4 linked regions of the Caenorhabditis elegans genome follow. The protein of the gene in region 3 interacts with the protein of the main gene of each other region in a pairwise test. Each region holds a gene or a part of one and is shown on either strand. Other genes may lie near its edges.

What was found.
Region 1: the proteins of metl-13 (region 3) and wrt-5 interact in a two-hybrid assay, tested with the Caenorhabditis elegans proteins (one large-scale study listed by BioGRID).
Region 2: the proteins of metl-13 (region 3) and sut-1 interact in a two-hybrid assay, tested with the Caenorhabditis elegans proteins (one large-scale study listed by BioGRID).
Region 4: the proteins of metl-13 (region 3) and dpy-17 interact in a two-hybrid assay, tested with the Caenorhabditis elegans proteins (one large-scale study listed by BioGRID).

What each region holds. Positions count from the first base shown.
Region 1 is NC_003282.8:4,049,506-4,053,254, forward strand, and holds wrt-5 (Warthog protein 5), read right to left. Parts: upstream 2,135-3,749; 5' UTR 2,114-2,134; coding exon 1,946-2,113; intron 1,163-1,945; coding exon 1,016-1,162; coding exon of another isoform or gene 950-1,015; coding exon 840-949; intron 794-839; coding exon 688-793; 3' UTR 501-687; downstream 1-500. UniProt on the Caenorhabditis elegans protein: Intercellular signal essential for a variety of patterning events during development.
Region 2 is NC_003280.10:1,120,501-1,124,869, forward strand, and holds sut-1 (SUppressor of Tau pathology), read right to left. Parts: upstream 2,766-4,369; 5' UTR 2,754-2,765; coding exon 2,733-2,753; intron 2,673-2,732; coding exon 2,599-2,672; intron 2,549-2,598; coding exon 2,464-2,548; intron 2,367-2,463; coding exon 2,168-2,366; intron 1,306-2,167; coding exon 1,088-1,305; intron 689-1,087; coding exon 578-688; 3' UTR 513-577; downstream 1-512. Other genes in the region: eri-3 (Reverse transcriptase domain-containing protein), read left to right, coding at 3,036-3,141, 3,187-3,260, 3,435-3,606, 3,778-3,959.
Region 3 is NC_003282.8:6,633,053-6,638,661, forward strand, and holds metl-13 (Methyltransferase domain-containing protein), read left to right. Parts: upstream 1-2,036; 5' UTR 2,037-2,039; coding exon 2,040-2,125; intron 2,126-2,363; coding exon 2,364-2,589; intron 2,590-2,663; coding exon 2,664-2,875; intron 2,876-2,920; coding exon 2,921-3,032; intron 3,033-3,084; coding exon 3,085-3,203; intron 3,204-3,249; coding exon 3,250-3,387; intron 3,388-3,435; coding exon 3,436-3,622; intron 3,623-3,666; coding exon 3,667-3,838; intron 3,839-4,097; coding exon 4,098-4,285; intron 4,286-4,332; coding exon 4,333-4,477; intron 4,478-4,531; coding exon 4,532-4,776; intron 4,777-4,826; coding exon 4,827-4,967; 3' UTR 4,968-5,103; downstream 5,104-5,609. Other genes in the region: C01B10.9 (Bis(5'-adenosyl)-triphosphatase), read left to right, coding at 1-129, 187-466, 798-918, 965-1,126, 1,194-1,466, 1,578-1,640; C01B10.7 (TransThyretin-Related family domain), read left to right, coding at 5,527-5,609.
Region 4 is NC_003281.10:5,105,408-5,109,020, reverse strand, and holds dpy-17 (Cuticle collagen dpy-17), read right to left. Parts: upstream 1,692-3,613; 5' UTR 1,689-1,691; coding exon 1,274-1,688; intron 1,222-1,273; coding exon 578-1,221; 3' UTR 530-577; downstream 1-529. Other genes in the region: F54D8.6 (C2H2-type domain-containing protein), read right to left, coding at 2,201-2,357, 2,425-2,523, 2,579-2,689, 2,965-3,079, 3,166-3,613. UniProt on the Caenorhabditis elegans protein: Secreted collagen that forms part of the nematode cuticle, which functions as an exoskeleton and a barrier to protect the worm from its environment.

The sequences.
Region 1 (3,749 bases), 2.6 Mb from region 3:
TTTTCCGCGGATTTTCATTGAAAAAACGAAGGAAAATTATTTTTTCACTCAGAAAAGCGAAAAAATCGCGAAAAACCACAAAAAAATAGGACGAAATGAACGGAGAAAGTGCGATGAATGAAGTTTCGCGCGCGTTTTCGAATGAAACTTCGCGCCTCAATTTACCGCATTCAAAAAGTGCGCCAGCAGTCGTCCTTTGCGCATTCTCCGTGCATTGCGTACCAGGCATTTTATTTGACGCGCAACACTTTAGAAAAGCGGTTTTTAATGGGGAAATAACGAATTTTCGAGGCAAATTGGTTGAAAAATAAAAATTTTAAATTTCAATAAAAAAATTTATAACAAAAATCGCTGGTAAATTCATGAAAACTGAGGCCTGGAGTTTGACACTGCGTACAATACATATAATTTGACGCGCAACTTATTTTGACGAATTTTATAATTAATAAATTAGATTTAAACCTTATTTTCAGACGTTTAAAGAACAAACAAATCAACTAAAACGTCATAATTTATTTTTTAGGCATGTTTGACAAAAAAACCTCGAAAAACCAATTATTCATTCACAGAAACAACAAAAACCAAGACTAGTGATTCAAAAAGGCAACCAATCGCTTAGCAACCCGAAAACACCCGAAAACGCATAGAAAAACATAAAAAAATAAATTATTCCCGCCGAAAAATCGTTCATTTTTCCCAATACGGCCACTGTTTCTTCATGTACCATGCCGGCGGTGTGTCGGGAATATTTCCGCAATGATAGCGGTAGATGAGGAGATTGTAGGAGTATTTTCTGCAAAAACCGAGCAAAATTTTTGAAATAATCGAGAAAAACCTACCCATCGGGCTCTTTGACTTGCTCAATATTGCCAATCAGGTCAAAAGCCGTCACAACATCCCCTTCCATTTGCTCATCGCCCTCGAAATACTCGCCAGTGCGGATAGTAAGCTGGAAATTTGGATTTTCATGAAAAATTCCCCCAATTTTTTCAAATTTCCCGCCAAAAATCCCTACTTTCTCATACTGAATCGTTGAATATGTGGGAAGAAGGTCATATTCACAACACATAAGCCGCAGACTTCCGTCAGAATGTTGAGTTACTCCCCCGACCCACGAGGAATTGGTGGAGCATGTCGTTGAAGTCGCTCGTTCCGGGCATTCCTGGAAAAAATTGAGAAAATGATAAATTTCATGATTTTTACTAGGATTTGCACGATTTTTCACCCTAAATTCGTCTTTTTGTGCATTTTGTGGCAAGATCTAGTGTTTTGGGGTACGGTAGCCGGTGTTTTCACAAAAACGGGGCTACAGTAAGCAAAATTAATTAAAAAATGGGCTAAATAGCTAAGAATAAATCGTTTTTCAAAACGTTCGACAATAATTTGATGAAATATCAAAAAATCAATTAGAAACGGTAAGATTTTCGCATTTTGGAGCCATTTTGCGACATTTCGTGCAATTTGGCGTCAAATCCAGTGCTTTGGGTTACTGTAGTCGGTGTTTGCACGGAAATGGAGCTACAGTACGGATATTTTTGCTAATTTTCGAAAAAAAACCGTCGTTTTTACAATTCTCGGGTTAATTTTTCGATTTTCTGTGCATTTTTTCGTAAGATATGGTTTTTGGGGTTACGGTAGTCGGCTTGTGATTGGAAATTTCTGAAATGTTTCAAAAACTAATTTAAAATATTTTTCTGTATGACAAAAATGTGTTAAAATAGGGTTTTTTTTTAGTTTTCCGGGTTTTCCAAGTTTTTCTGCAATTTGGCGTCAAATCTGGTGTTTACACATACATGGAGCTACAGTAACTGGGAAAATTTTGAAAATAACCTAGAAACAAACACAAAATTCAAACATACGAATTTTCACTGTAAAATGTGGAAATTTCGATAATATCCGACTGCAATTTATCGTAAAATGCGGTGTAACCGGAAAAACAACTCACTGCATACTTCTTCTCGTGACAACTGGGCCGCGAGCACAAAATGTTCACATTGCCATTTTTGTGCACCTCCATGCCAAATGGCACCTTGTGATCCCCACAGTAGTCTGCGAGAGTGGAGCCGGCCACAAAAGCCATGAGCCATGAAGCCATGAGCCACATGGAGCACATGGTGGTCGGATGCTGAAACTTTGAAATTTTAGACGGGAATTTTTCAGTGGAAAAGTTCAAATTGGGGCCAGAGACAGAAAATGTGTGCTCGTATTACGGCATTTTTTGGTCGGGGTGGGGGGAAATGTCATCGAATATGAACAAATATTTGGAAGAAGTGAGAAAGGTTAAACATGCGTGTCTGTGTACCTTTGAATTAACAAGACCATTTCATTTTTTTCCTATGAAGTTTTTGATTGGAAATACTGGTGAACTTTAGTATTTCAACATTCCAGAAGATCGTGAGGCTTCTGGACGACCGTAAGTACCTCAAAGCTGCCTAAAACCTCAGTAGGCTGCCTAACACCCCAGTGGGTTGCCTAGAGCCGAGTAAGCTGTCAAGAACCGTAGTAGGTTGCCTGAAACCTCAGTAGACTGCCTAGTACTTTAGTAGACTGCCTAGAACCACTGTAGGCTGCCTAAAACTCCCCGTAGATTACTCCCCCATAGCTCTAAAAATTCAAAAAAAAAAAAAGATTCTAAAACAGATTCCAGATATCTCTAATCATCCTATGACCTTCTGGGATCTCTCGGATCTTTCATTGCCGTATGGGAACAATTGGGCCAGCGCTCGGCGAAAATCGCTGGGAGTTTAGCCATGTACAGGACTATTTGTACTTTTAAGCTGAAAGTTATAGAATTTACTACTAGGTCTCTAAAAATCCTACGCTGTAGAAATAAAACAGAAAAATGTACAAATGCAACGCCGCCGCCGCCTCATCAAAGTCGCGATGAAATGTTGTTCGCTGGTCATTCGGCGTGGAGATGTAGATTAACCGATAATTCAATGCTACTACTCATTTAGAGGAGACAGCGTTTGAAACCCGGAGAGTGTGTGTGTGTTGCCGAGGTGTTAGAAAATGGAGTGACGAGGAGATGGAGGACGGAAAAGGGTGGCAAGTATATAAGAAAAACAATTGGTGTGTGCAAGGAGCAGAGGAGGAGAAGCTCGAAAAGTTCAAGCTCTCCAAAAAGGCTGAGCAAAAACCTCGGTCATCTAGAAATTTCGAGCTTGTCACCTAGAAATGGGTGAAATTCGGCAAAGCCATGGAGCCCAGGAAGCCTCTCGGCTCCAGACAGACCTCACTGTTCTCTTTTCCAGTTCTATTCTTGACTCCACATCAGACATTTTCCCATCATCCTTCCTTCTCAAGTGTTGGCGACCAAGCTCCAAACTTCAGACCTATCAAAGCGTGGAGAATCAAGAGACGCAGAGAAGATGTTGGAAACGTGAGAAAAGCTTGAGGGTGGTTTCTTAAGAAGTCATGAATATTTGGTGTGAAAATCGAGGTTCATGGGTCATCTGGCGGATGGACACCACATGACAATACGAATCATCACTTTTTGAGCTGAGCCACATGGAAGCTTGGCTCATTACCGAAAGCCACTCGGCTAGACAGTTCTGCTGCATGGTAGGAAATTTGACAAAATTTTCGTTCAAATTGGCAAAATTTGTCTGTAACTGACTAAAAATGGCACAAAACAGTTAAAACTGGATCACGCCCGATTAACCTGCCAAAAGGTGTCAAAAACTGGGTAAAAAGGACCTAAAGTGAGTGAAAACTGGTAAAATTCAGCGGAAAAATTCATTATCATG
Region 2 (4,369 bases), on a different chromosome or scaffold from region 3:
TCTGGGGTTCGATTCCACGCAATGACAGAAATTTTTTTTTATGAATTTCTAAACATGGCTTTACCTAAAAATCCAAAAGTGCACACTTTTACTAAAAAAAGAGCATCACCTTGATTCAATTATAATATCCTTACTCTGTCACGTGCCTACGTGCCTACATGCCTCTCTCATGCTAACCGACGTACCTACCTCATCCCTACCTACGTGCCTACACTCTTAGCTTATGCCTACACGCCTACCTGCCTACCTACAGCATACCTGCCTACGCGCCTACACTTTTACCTCATACCTACATGCTAACATCATGTCTACATATCTGCATACACTCCTACCTAATGCTAACCAACGTGCCTACACTCTTACCTGATGCCTACACAACTACATCATGCCTACCTATCTGCATACATGCCTATTCTCTAAATTTTTGCCTACACACCTGTCTCGTGCCTACCTCAAGCCTACCTACATGCCTACACGCCTATCAACTCCCCAAAAAACGAAAAAAAAAACGGTGGAATTTGTTGAAAATTCATTAAAAGTGAAAAAAAAATATTTTTATTTAATTGTACAAAATTTATCAAATTTGATGTCCACCGATTTGTGGAGGAGGACACGTGTTCGAGTGCGGAGCCAGGACCATTTTCTTCTCGCGGAGAGCATCTAGAAGGAGCCAACAGGCGACCGGGTTCTGAAAAATTCAAAATTTGGGCATAGCTTCCGCATCCCCAGTGACAAATGTGCTCTATTGCACAAATTGTTGGTTGGAATACGGTATTTATTGCATGTTTCAGCCGAGAATACCGATATTCTAGCCATCAATGAGGATAAAGGCACACAAGTCACAGATTATCAGTAGAGCGTATTTGCATTAGCTAGGAAATTCAAATTTCTGGCTAAAATTTGAATTTTAACGGGAATTTTGAACTTTTGGGGGAAAATAACGCATTTTTTGAGAAAAAATGTCAAAAACGGGTCAAAATTCGTGTTTTAATAGGCAAAAACACCTCAAAAACGCCATTTTCTCGGGATTTTCAGATATTTTCGGGCTATTTTTCAGATTTTCCAGGATTTTCCAAAAATTCCCTACAATTTGCTGCTCGGTCTCCGGTTTGCAGTGTGCCGACGCCGCTCGTTCACCCCATTTCGCAAAAAGTGGGTCCCGCGCATCGTAGATCGGCTTATTGTTTCCCCATAGTTGTGGTGGTGGTTGTTGCGTGGGCGGTGGTGCGGCGGCTGGAGCTCCCTGAGCTACACGTCCTACGGCTCCGAACATCACGTCTTGTGGCGGTGGTTGCTGGTGTTCTGCTGGTAAAAATTTGAATTTTTGAGTGTTTCAAGTGCGCTCTGATGCGAATTTTAGAGGGAAATTTGAATTTTTTGGCAATTTTGAATTTTTGAGTGTTTCAAGTGCGCTCTAATGCGAATTTTGGCGGTAAATTCGAATTTTTCCTAAAAATTGAATTTGTCGGTGTTGCAAATCAGCTCTAATGCGAATTTTAGCGAGAAATTCGAATTTTCTAGTGTCTAAAATGCGCTACAATACAAATTTTAACGGAAAATTCAAAATTTTTCTAAAGTTTTGAAATTTCAAGTGTTTCAAGTGCGCTCTAATGCGAATTTTGGTGAAAAATTCAAATTTTCACAAAATTTCGAATTTTCAAGTGTTTCAAGTGCGCTCCAATGCAAATTTCAAATAATAATTTAAATTTTCACAGAATTCTTGAATTTTCTAGTGTCTAAAGTGCGCTCTAATGCAAATTTTAGGCGGAAGTTTATATTTTAACAAAAGTTTGAATTTCCGAGTGATTCAAGTGCGCTCTAATGCTAATTTCAGCGGGAAATTCGATTTTTTCGTAAAAATTGAACTTTTCGGTGCTGCAAATGTGCTCTAGTGTGAATTGTAGCGGAAAACTGAGATTTTCGGTTCAAAATTCAACTTTTCATAAAATTTTGAAATATTGAATGTTCCAAGTGCGCTCCAATGCGAATTTTGGTGGAAAAATCAAATTTTTACAAAATTTTGAATTTCTCCGTGTTTCAAGGGCGCTCCAATGCAAATATCGGCGAAAAAGTCAAATTTTTACGGAATTTTGAATTTCGGCTGTTCCAAATGCGCTCTAATGCAAATTTCAGCGAAAAATTCAAATTTTCCGGTTAAAAACCGTACGTGGCGGTCTCTGCATCATCATATTCTGCATCATTTGTTGCTGCTGGAGCTGAGCTGCAGCAGCGGCTCTTTTCTGCATTTCCGTCTGCTCCATTCCTCTCAAATGATGTGCCATGTAGGCTTCTTGTGATTGTGCGTAGGCGGCCGCCGCCGCTTCTGCCTCCTTGTCAACTGCCGCCGCTTTTCGGTGCTTTTGTTGCTGAAAATTGAACATTTTAAAGTAAATTCAGCATTTTTGGGTCAAAAATTGTCTTTTTTCCAGATTTTTCTATAATTTTTAGGTTTTTTTTACGAACCTGTGACGTTCTCGCCTCCACTTCTTTCTCCCACTGCTCGAATTGCTGTACATACGAATTATAAGCCTCCGTGCCAATGGAACCCCTGAAAATCATCCAAATTTGCAATTTTTCCCCGAAACTCGAGTTTCCCACTTATTATTCTCCTTCCACTGCTCGAATTGAGCTCGATAGTCTGCGTATTGCTTCTGCAACTCTTCCTCTGATACCTGGAAATAGAGAAAAATCGATTTTCTGCGAAAAATCCTTGAAAAACGATAAAAACTCACTTTTTTCGAGGCTCCCGACATAATTATCTGAAATTTAAATAACTTTCTATAGATTTTATGAGAAAAAATGGAGAAAATCGACGGAAAACTGGCGAAAATCGATAAAAAACAATTTTTTTCAAAAAAATAAATGGTGGCCGAGGAGGGGTTTTCTAGGCCATTTTGACTTTAGACTCGGCCACCACGATTTTTTGAATTAATTTCGCTGATTTTTTCGCTATTTTTATTCATTTTCTCCCGTTTTTTCTGATTTTTTCTGTTAAAATCAATAAAAATTCCTAAAAATCCGATTTTTCTTCAGGTATGCAACCCGTTCTTGTAAATAGTCGACCATTACGGGTGAAATCGCACGAATCCGAGTCAAAACTCAATTTAATCGAGCAAGAAGACCAGTTTGAAGGCGCAAATTGTGAGTTTTTAGTGCCAAATTTGATTTTAAAGCTTGTAAATTCAGATTCAAGCTCGTCTGGTGTCATAATATGCTATTCGAATGGTACCGGAGAGGTTATTACGCAGGAGGCGTTTGATGTAAGGGAATTTCCAGGGAAAATCGATATTTGGAGTCCTAAAATATGCAAATTATTGATAAAAATCGCAAAAATTGCCTTAAAAACACGACGAAAAAACAGTTAAAAATCGAAAAAAAAACCATGATTTTCCAATTTTTTTTTTGCAAAAAATTTAAAAACTCGCAATTTTCAGGATTCCGGCATTCATTTTATCTTCTCAAAAGCCACGTGTATACAATATCCGTCAAATTTCGACCCAATCGGTGTGGGATCCGTCGTTCAGATCTTCTGGAGCCGGAGCTTCGAACGGGTGGTCCGCGGGAATCATATTATAGTGCAAATCGAGAAAATGGAGGTTTATAAGTGTAAGTTTGACCCGGAAATTCGAATTTCCCGCCAAAATTCACCCTGAAACACTTGCAAATTCGAAAATTCGGTGAAAATTCAAGTTTATAACCTAAAAATTTGAATTTCCCGCCGACCGGATGCTGCAAGCTCGCTCCACCGAACAAATCATGAGAAATTCAAATTTTCAGGTTGTGCAATGCTCCGCGAGCAGGTTTTCGTCACATTCAACTCCCCGTCGACTGCTGGCGTCGCAATTGGAGTCACCGAACGAAATATTACTGTAGCTTTCCATCCGAACTGCTCGCCTGTTATTCGCTACGAGACCTTAAAGGCGCATAGCATTGGACGCACCGAATTCGAGATTAAAGATGTACGGGAATTTGAATTTTCCAACGGAAAAAATGTGCTCTATTGAGAAAATTGCGAAAAAAACGGGGTTTTGCCTTTGAATTTTTAATTGAAAAAGTGAATTTTAAATAAATTATTGCCGAAAATTAGATTTTTCATTGAAAAATTTTTTTAAAAACAATTTTCTTCGAAGAAAAATTTAATTTTGGCTGAAAAACGTGCATTCTCCACTTAAAAAAACATTTCCCACCCACCGCGTGCTGCGAGTGCGCTCCAATGCAAATTTTGCATTAGCGCGCATTTGCAGCTTGCGGTCAGCGAGAAATTCGAATTTTTGGGTTGAAATTGATAGAATTTAACTCAAAAATTCAAATTTCCCGTCAGAATACTACTTTACACAGAATATCTCTACTCAAAATTCACTTTTTTCGT
Region 3 (5,609 bases):
AAATTGAGAAAACATTAAAGAAACTTGACGATCTATTTCTTTATTTTATCAAAAAATTCGATGATAATAATTTGGGAGCTGATGTGAATATTATCCTAACAGCTGATCATGGACATGCAGAAATTAAAGGTAATAATTTAAAATAGTTGAAATTAAAATCTTCATAATTCCTAAAACTAAATTCAGATCACAAACATGTCATGTGCGTGAAAGATTATGTATCTGGCGCTGGATTCGAAATGGGTGATCATATGATTTATCCACACTCGGATGAAATTGGAAAACAAATTTATGCAAATTTAACATCAGCAGTGAAAGAGCATGGATATGATGTGAATATTCATTGGAGAGAGGAAGTTCCAGAAAGATGGCATTATCGAAACAGTTCGCGAATTGGAAAAATCGTTTTCGAGCCGCAAATCGGTTCTTCGATTTCGTTTTCGTGTACGAAGGATCTTATGGAAAAGTATGTGGTTTACAACCGGGCTGTGCGGCAAATTTTTCTGGCAAACGTAAACAATAGTAATGCAGAAACAGGTGCATTCTATCTGAAAATAATATTTAGCTTTGTTGAATAATTGGAAAAAAAACCTTAAATATTGCCCGAATGTTGTCATTTGCAGAATAACTTTTAACGGCACTATTTGAGACCTTTGTCAAGTTTTTCAACAAAAACAAATATCATTTTTAGATGGAATGGGACATTTTTTCTTGAATTATCATATTAAAAAAAGGCAGTTTGATCCGTTTACCGGAAAAAATATTACAACGATTAGTTTATTGAAATCAACTTTCAGGCAATATGGAGAAAACGGAACATTAAAATTCAATTCATCAACTCACGGACAAGATCCTGATCGTCCAGAGATGAGAGCTTTCCTTATTATGAGAGGCCCAGCGTTTTCTGAAAATTATACGGTATAAGCTAGGCATTTTGAGAACTGTATGATAAATATTCTTTCAGATTGCCGATATTCCTTCAAATGTGGATTTGTACAATATAATGTGTCATGTGCTTGGTATCACACCAACTGAAAATAATGGAACCATGGAAATTGTGAAACGAGCTTTAAAAGAGAACAGATATTTACCAATGACACATGGTTTCGTATTTAATCAGATTACGGTAGGTTATTCCACAGAGTATTTGACTCAATTCTAAAGCTTATCAAAAGCACATAATTTTTCTTCAGGATTCATGGAGTTTTTCGCTTATTTTAATTCCTTCAATGTGTATTGTTATAATATTCTTCGCTTATGGATGTAAGAATACCGTACTCAAATCTGATCCCAATTGGGGAAGATCCGATACAGTTCAAGGATATCGGCCATTGAGTAACCGGACGAACGAAGGATTCGAATTAAATGATGATGAGGATGAGGATGAAGGAGATGGATTAAGGAATTCGATAGATTTAGAAAGAGGTGGAAGAAGGAGTCAAGCAGGAGGTGGTGCACTTGGAAGTGTGAGTTTTATATTGAAATAATCGGAAAATCAAATATCGCTCGAAATTATTTTAAAGAAAAAATAAATAAAAAATTACCCGAAATGTTCTCAAAAATGTGTAGATTTTCAGCTGAACAATGGAACGGTAGCAATGTCTGGACTACTGGATGAAATGAGCGATGATGATATTTGATCTTTTTAATATAACTTTTTGCATTCAAATTGTAAATATTTCTTGTGACCTCTTTATATATTTCCCCCATTGTGCCTTCGATTTCTCTTTAATTTCTGCAGAATATTCAAATCACAAAGCAAAATATTTATCTCTTTATTTGTCCTAGTCATCCTTTCATCTCTTTTTGATTTTTTTCCCCGGTTGTGGATTTTCAGGATTTTCAAAATCATCCAAAGACAGTTTATCAATTTTCAATGTGATATATTTTCAAAAAAGATTACTTAACTTTAATAATGAATGTTTCTCATATTTTTTACTTCTTAATTATAATTTTATTTTCTTTGGTTTTCATTTAGCCTCATGTTTTATTTCGAGTATTTAAAATGATTATTTTTCTAGTTTCTATAGTTTCAGGCCATGTCCGCTCCAAATGAGCCACAATCTTTCACGGATCCAGCGTACTGGAAGAACTTCTTTGCAAAACGAAAATCTCCATTCGAATGGTAATTAAATAATTATATTTCTTTGTTAAAATATGATGTCTTTCAAACAAAATTAAAAGAAAATTATCACATCACTATCAAGTGTTTTTCAGATTTGTCAAAGAAAAATTATCAATGTTTCGAAAAATAACTTAAAATATTGACCATTTTTCTTCTTTTTAGATAGAAATTTTTCCTCATCAACATACACAAAAATTGAATGCTTTCGATTCTCATGTAAAAATTTGAATTCTTTCAGGTACGGTGACTATAATTCTTTATCAAATGTAATTGATAAATATTTGAAACCGAAAGACACGTTCCTTCAACTTGGATGTGGTAATTCGGAATTAGCGACCCAACTCTACGATAATGGATTTCATTGCATTCACAGTATTGATGTAGAACCATCTGTTATTGCCACACAGATTCGTAAAAATAAAGAACGACTCGGAATGACTTTTGAGACTGGAGATGCTGCTAATGTGAGTTTGGAGAATGTCCCGTTGTGCACAATGAACAATTAAAAGAAAAGAAATTCGAAAATAATATGTTATAGCTATCCATGGCCGATGAAGCACATACCATTGTAATTGATAAAGGAACTCTCGACGCTCTTCTTCCACCATCAGCTTCAGAATCCGATGAAGCATTGGTTACAAAGATGTTCGAGGAAGTTCATCGTGTATTGGCTTCTGGTGGAAGATATATCATTGTCACATTGGCTCAACCACATATCACCGAGTTCTGGATTAATCACTTCTATCCATTGTAAAATATTCATTTTTCTCAAAAATCTGTAAAACGTTATTCCAGAAAGCAATATATCCTACGTGTTCAAAAAGTTGAGAACAAGGCTTCTGGATTCCCAATGCCAGTTTTCTGCTTTATTGCCACGAAAATGCGAGCACCAATGCCAAATCCATTGGTAGGTAGATAAATTGCAAATTATTTTATTTAAATAAAACCTATATTTTTAGCCTCTAGAAGTTCTTCGCTCCAGCTCCATCCGTACTGATCGTATCGATAGCACTGACGAATTGAAGGATTCTATTCGTGGAGAACAGGAGCTCTCACAATTCATCTACCTGTGCTCGAAGTAATTCATTTTAGTTTTTCCCTTGAAATTAATGAAATTAATTTAGAAAGCTGGACTCTGAAGTTTCAATCGACTTTCATGGAGCAGATCCATCATTAGGACCACGTTATCGTATCTGTGTTGTTGATAATCCAGAAGCCAAGAAGATTGACACATTCGCCGCATTTGTGGTTCCAATTGGACGGTTTGTATAGAAAACATTTTTAAATTCGAATTCTTATATTAATTTCAGTGATTCTGAATGGCTATTCGCCTCACCAAAGGGACGAAAAGCTCTTCGTGTTCAATGTGGCCGCGAACGTCTCGCAATCGTTTTCCTCAACAGAAATCAAAAATATGAAAAAGGAATGGACGGTGTGAAGAGTGATATTGGACATTTTGTTGGAATGCTGGATGTTAGACAAGATAATACTGGAAATGTATGTAGAATTGAACACGAAACATATGAAAACCCGATTTTCAGTACGAAATTCTATCCATCGGAGGAGTCGATGTTAAGCGAACCGTTTCAACGGGACGTTCGGATATCAATGGTGGTTGGAGTGTTGAAGAAGTTACTGTTGAAGGAAATCAAACTAGAAGACTAGTTTTTCTGAATACGATGAATCTGGTACAATCTGAAGCTTATCTGAAAAGTTAGTAGTTGAAAATTTCATTTTTCAACCCCCTTTAAAGAGTAAAATGGATTTATTACAACTGAAAAATCAATGAAAACTGAGCAGCAACGAGATTTGAAAATTGCAGTATTGTTTAAAGGCGCACATCCTTCTGTATTATTTTCGGTGGAAAAAGAATAACATTTCCCATCTTGTTAATACACGAGAGGTAGTTTATCAGAATTAAAAAAGAACGGTTTAATGATGCTCACCTCAAAATTTAAAATTAACATTACAGCCGGAAAGAAGAAGCAAACGGTCATAGATCTCGATCAATTGGCATGCGATTTCCATAGAATGATGATCGGATCCCTAGCCATCAGTCCGCAACAACCATTAGCCAAGAATGATGCTCAGTGTAAGATGGCTGTTCTTGGATTAGGTGGTGGACTTTTGACTGCATATCTTGTCAGACATTTCAAAAAGGTATCAATCAAGTCTAGAAACTTAACAGTGCTAAATTTTCGTTTCAGGCTCATGTAACCGCTGTGGAACTTGATCCAGAAGTACTCAAAATCGCAAATTCTCACTTCTCGTTCCCCCATTCGGACGCTAGAATTGACGTTGTCATCCAAGATGCTCTTATTCATCTCCAGGAGACTGCAAAGAAACCTGAAGGTATTTAAAATATCATGTTCAAATTTTATTTTACAAATCAATTCTTATTTCCAGAAGAGAAATACGATGTGATTTTTGTGGATGTTTCTGGAAGTCAGAACGCTGCTCTTCAATGCCCACCATCCGCCTTCCTTACCCCAGAAGCTCTAGGAAATATGAAAAACTCGGTGAAAGAACAAGGAATGATTAGTTTGAATTTGGTTACACGCGATTCGGAATTCGGAAAGTCGATTAAAAAGAATATCGCAGAGTATTTCCCAACTCTCTACACAGTTCTGTCCTTCGAAGATGTTAATGAGGTAAACTAAATTAATTATTGAAATTCTACTAGCAAATATATTTCTTTCAGATTATCATCGGTCTCAAAACACCCAAGAACACAATAAAACCAGTGGTTCCTCAGAAATTAATCAACACAGTTCGCAAAGATATTGGAAGCTATGATGAGGTTGTCGGTGCTATCTCAAACATTCGTATGGTTGATTATTAATTGCACAATTTCGTTTGTTATCTTGTTTATTTTCAGTAATTTTTTATTATATGTATTCGATTGTTCCCAGTTATTCAAATTTTCCCCCGTTTGTTGTTTCGTTTGTTCACCTGATGAATTTTGTTTTACACTTTGCAAACATGTCTAATGTTCTCACGGTGCAGTGAAAAACAACTTTGCAGGAAAAACAACTATTAACAGCATATTCGATATCTCGACGCGATCCTACTGTACTTCCGATGTAGACTATTTGGAATTCCACTAGGAAGTTGTGCAAATTATCTGTATTTGATTATGCGGCCAAAACTATTCTATAATAACTTTGGAACTAAAAAATATTTTCCGTCACAAAATATGAAACTTTTAATTTTTGATCGTCAGTTTTTCTACAAAATAGTATTCATTTTGGTAGTGATCTGTACTGCAGAAATAGATTAATCTCTAAAAAAGTTCAGACAACGAGTAATTTCTATCAAACTGTGTTTTTTAATCTTTTAATTTTTATTTCCGCCTCTCACCGTGCGGTTATAAAATTCATAAGTTCACTTGTGCGGCCATCATGGTTCAAGTTAGTACTGTACTTTCTCTATTTCTATTGCTAATATGTCTAGTTGATTCCAGTTCTGAACCAAAACGTACAAT
Region 4 (3,613 bases), on a different chromosome or scaffold from region 3:
GAAAAAGACAAGGCCATTCAGACTCGGCCATCGTTTCCAAACAGCTGTTCGGGACACTCTATACATAAGAGACGGCAGAGAAAGAAACAGTTTCTGTGTGTCTTGTCGGGCATCATTGAAAGAGAGACAAGAAGGATGCTCGCAAGTATTGAATCTGTTTTCATGGGAAAAATTAATGAAAAAACTCAGATAAACTATTTTGATCTATCTTTTGAAATTCTTTTGAAAATAAATATATGTTGAGTTCAACTGGTAGATCAAAATGCTTTTTTTGTAAAATAGGTTCACAATCGTTCAATTAAATAGTAACAAAACATTTTCGTTGGGGAAATAGGGTGTTTTTTTTTTTAATATTTTAGTATTCTATTTCAAAGCTTGGAAGTGTTTTGATTATATTTCTACTATCTGAAAATGTTTGCAATTCAGTTAACTTTTTCTGTTATAGTAAGCCTATTTCTTGAGATTATCTGAACTAGGATAACATGCTTCTCTGAAAACATCCTTCGATTGAAAAAAGTTATGAGAATAAAATAATTTATTTTCTTCAACAACACAAATCACAAATAATAATGTGAAATTAGTTTCTGTATCCTTGGTTTCCAGAGACAGCGGCGTTGGTGTTTCTCTGTGGGCATGGACAATATTGAGCATCTTGTCCTGGCTCTCCTTCCTCTCCTGGACTTCCAGCGGCTCCATTTGGTCCATCATCTCCCTTCTCTCCCTGTGGTCCACGCTCTCCTGGTGGTCCAGCAATTCCAGTTGCTCCACGATCTCCTTGCTCTCCTTGATCTCCAGACTCTCCTGGTGCTCCTGGAGTTCCCTTGGCTCCTGGAAGTCCGATTTGGTGTTCAACATCGGCTCCTGGCTCTCCAGTTGGTCCTTCTTCTCCAGCGGCTCCTGGTGGTCCAATTGGTCCCAAAGATCCGGGCATTCCTGGGGATCCGTCTCTTCCTGGCATAGCGGCTTGTCCACGGGCTCCACGCATTCCACGGGCTCCTGGCTTTCCTTGGGATCCTGGTGGTCCTTGTGGTCCAGCTGGGCAAGTGAAGCATCCATCGTATTGTTGAGTCTGAGCCTTGGCATCATCAGCATCTTCTCCGTCAACTCCTGGAACTCCTGGAATTCCATCTGGTCCATCATGTCCTGGAGTTCCCTTTGGTCCGGCTGGTCCAGCTGGGCATGAGTTTTCGGTGTTGCAATTGCACTTGTCTCCTGGTCCAGCTGTAAATGTTCAATTTATATAAGATCTTTGGACTATTTTTTCTATACTTACCAGATGGGGATCCATCTGGGTTGATTGGGCTTCCTCCTGGATGTCCAGTAACTGATGGTGGAACTCCAATAACTCCTGGAAGAGTTGGGGTGTTCGATGATCCAGTATTTCCTGGGAAGTGTCCTTGTGGGCCTCCTGGGAATCCACCGTGTGGTCCAGATGGTCCGGATGGTCCAGATGGTCCGCTACCGTATCCACCATATCCACCGTATCCTCCGGCTTGACGACGGACACGTCCGAACTTCTGCATATCCATGTAGATTTGATCGGACTCGAGACGCCATGCCTCCATTTCAGTCGTCAACTCGTCCCGGAGCATCGAGACTTGCTGATAGACTTGTGGGACAAGAGAGACGCAGAGAAGCATCGAAACGGCACCGAGGGTGCACGCGGCATATCCCGCGAACACTGACATGATCTGGAAAACATGTTTATTCTAGAATTTGCGCGTAATCTGAATTGCCAAGAAATACGGTATCCGGGATAAAAATTGCAAAAATTCGTATCAGCGAATAAATATCGTCAAAATAAACAAAGATGGAAAATGTTTTGATAAAAGTGTCCATTTCTCCTCTCTCAGGGACCCTTTTATACTCATAAACTCCCTCGCACAAGGACAAAGGACTACTGTATGCGAGACTCCGCCCCCTCATATGACCGATATGATAATCATCTCGAATATTATGCATAATTGTCCGTTATCTCCGATATGATGACCTAGATTTGAGAAGGGGATTTTTCGGGTCGAAGGACCTGTTTTTAATATTCATACAATAGAAGGAGGAAGAAGAATATAAGAAATTTTATAAATTAAAAATAAATAAAAGTCAACTATTGAAATTGAAAGAAATCGGGAAAGAATTGAAGAAAATATTGAAAAAGGAAGTTTTTTGATTCAAAAATATTTAGTTTTCCCAATTCTTAAATTTATGACGGAGGGGGAGCCGGTGGTGGTGGTACACTGAATGTTGCATGATAATCCGTTCCAGTTACAGCTGAAGCTTCACCTTCTGCAGGAGCAGTACCGTAGTATTGATTGTAGTATTGACTGCCATCTTCTTGGTAATATGTCGATGCATCTTGGCTGAAAATAGGTAATTATTTTTGAATAAAAATACAATTCAAACAATTAAAAAAGTGATTTTCCTTACCCTTCATGTCCATAATATGAATCTCCATTTTGCCCATATCCTTGTTGATCGTATCCTTCACCGTAGTGTTGCTGATTATATTCTCCATATCCTTCTTGACTGAAACGTTTATTAAATTTAATTAATTTCATTTTAAAATATTTAATTTTATTACCTTCCATAATAATCCTCTTGTCCTTGATAATGTCCATCGTAACCACGTTCTCCATATGTTTGTGAATCATAATCTTGTCCATATCCACTTGTTCCTTGATACGATCGATCGCTGAAATCGAGATTTTGAAAAATTGAAATTTTTTTGGGGTTTCGAAACGCGAATAGTCACAAATACTTTTTTATGTTTAATTGAAGGCTTCGAGAAGTTTTTGACAAACTGCCTCAAAGTCGTGAAGTGTCGATCGGCATTATTTGAGTCAGTTTTAGAGCAAATTTTCGAAAATTTCAATTGAAAGTAAAGTTACTTTCCGAGATAGCTGAGAAAAAGGGGCTTTCGTATACTTTCTCAATGTGTTTTATATCTCTGCTCATTGCTGAACTCACTAATCATCATATCGATCACGTCGCCCAGATTTTTGCGGAGGACCACCATAATCTCTTCCACCATCACGGCCACCGCCTCGGCCACCACCACCACCTCCTCGCTGGAATTCATCTCCTGAAAAATAAAGCGTTATTTAAAAATATTTAAAAAAAAACATAAGGATTTCGAATTTTCGTGGAATAAAGGTTGAATAAACTTACTTCTTCGTTTTCTTTCTCTTTCCTTAACACCTCCTCTCGCTCCTCTTCTTTGCTTATCACCCATTCGATCCCCTCCAGGTGGCCGATCGATTCCAGGCATTCCAGATCCTGGTGGTCTATCAACTCCGCGCCTTCCACCTCCTGGTGGCCGATCTACTCCAGGAATTCCTCCACCTCCAGGTGGTCGATCAACACCACGAGAATCACCTCCAGGTGGGCGATCGATTCCACGAGATCCTCTGCCTGGCGCCCGATCAACCCCAGGAACACCACCACCCGGTTCTCGATCCCTACTTCGTTCAATTCTGTCTCCACCTGGTGGTCTATCAACTCCTGTAACTGGCGACTTGCTCCGAACCTTTTCACCACGATCCCTATTACCACCAGGTGGTCTATCGACTCCAGGAATTCCTTTCGAATGATCAACAGGTGTATAATTATGTCGTTG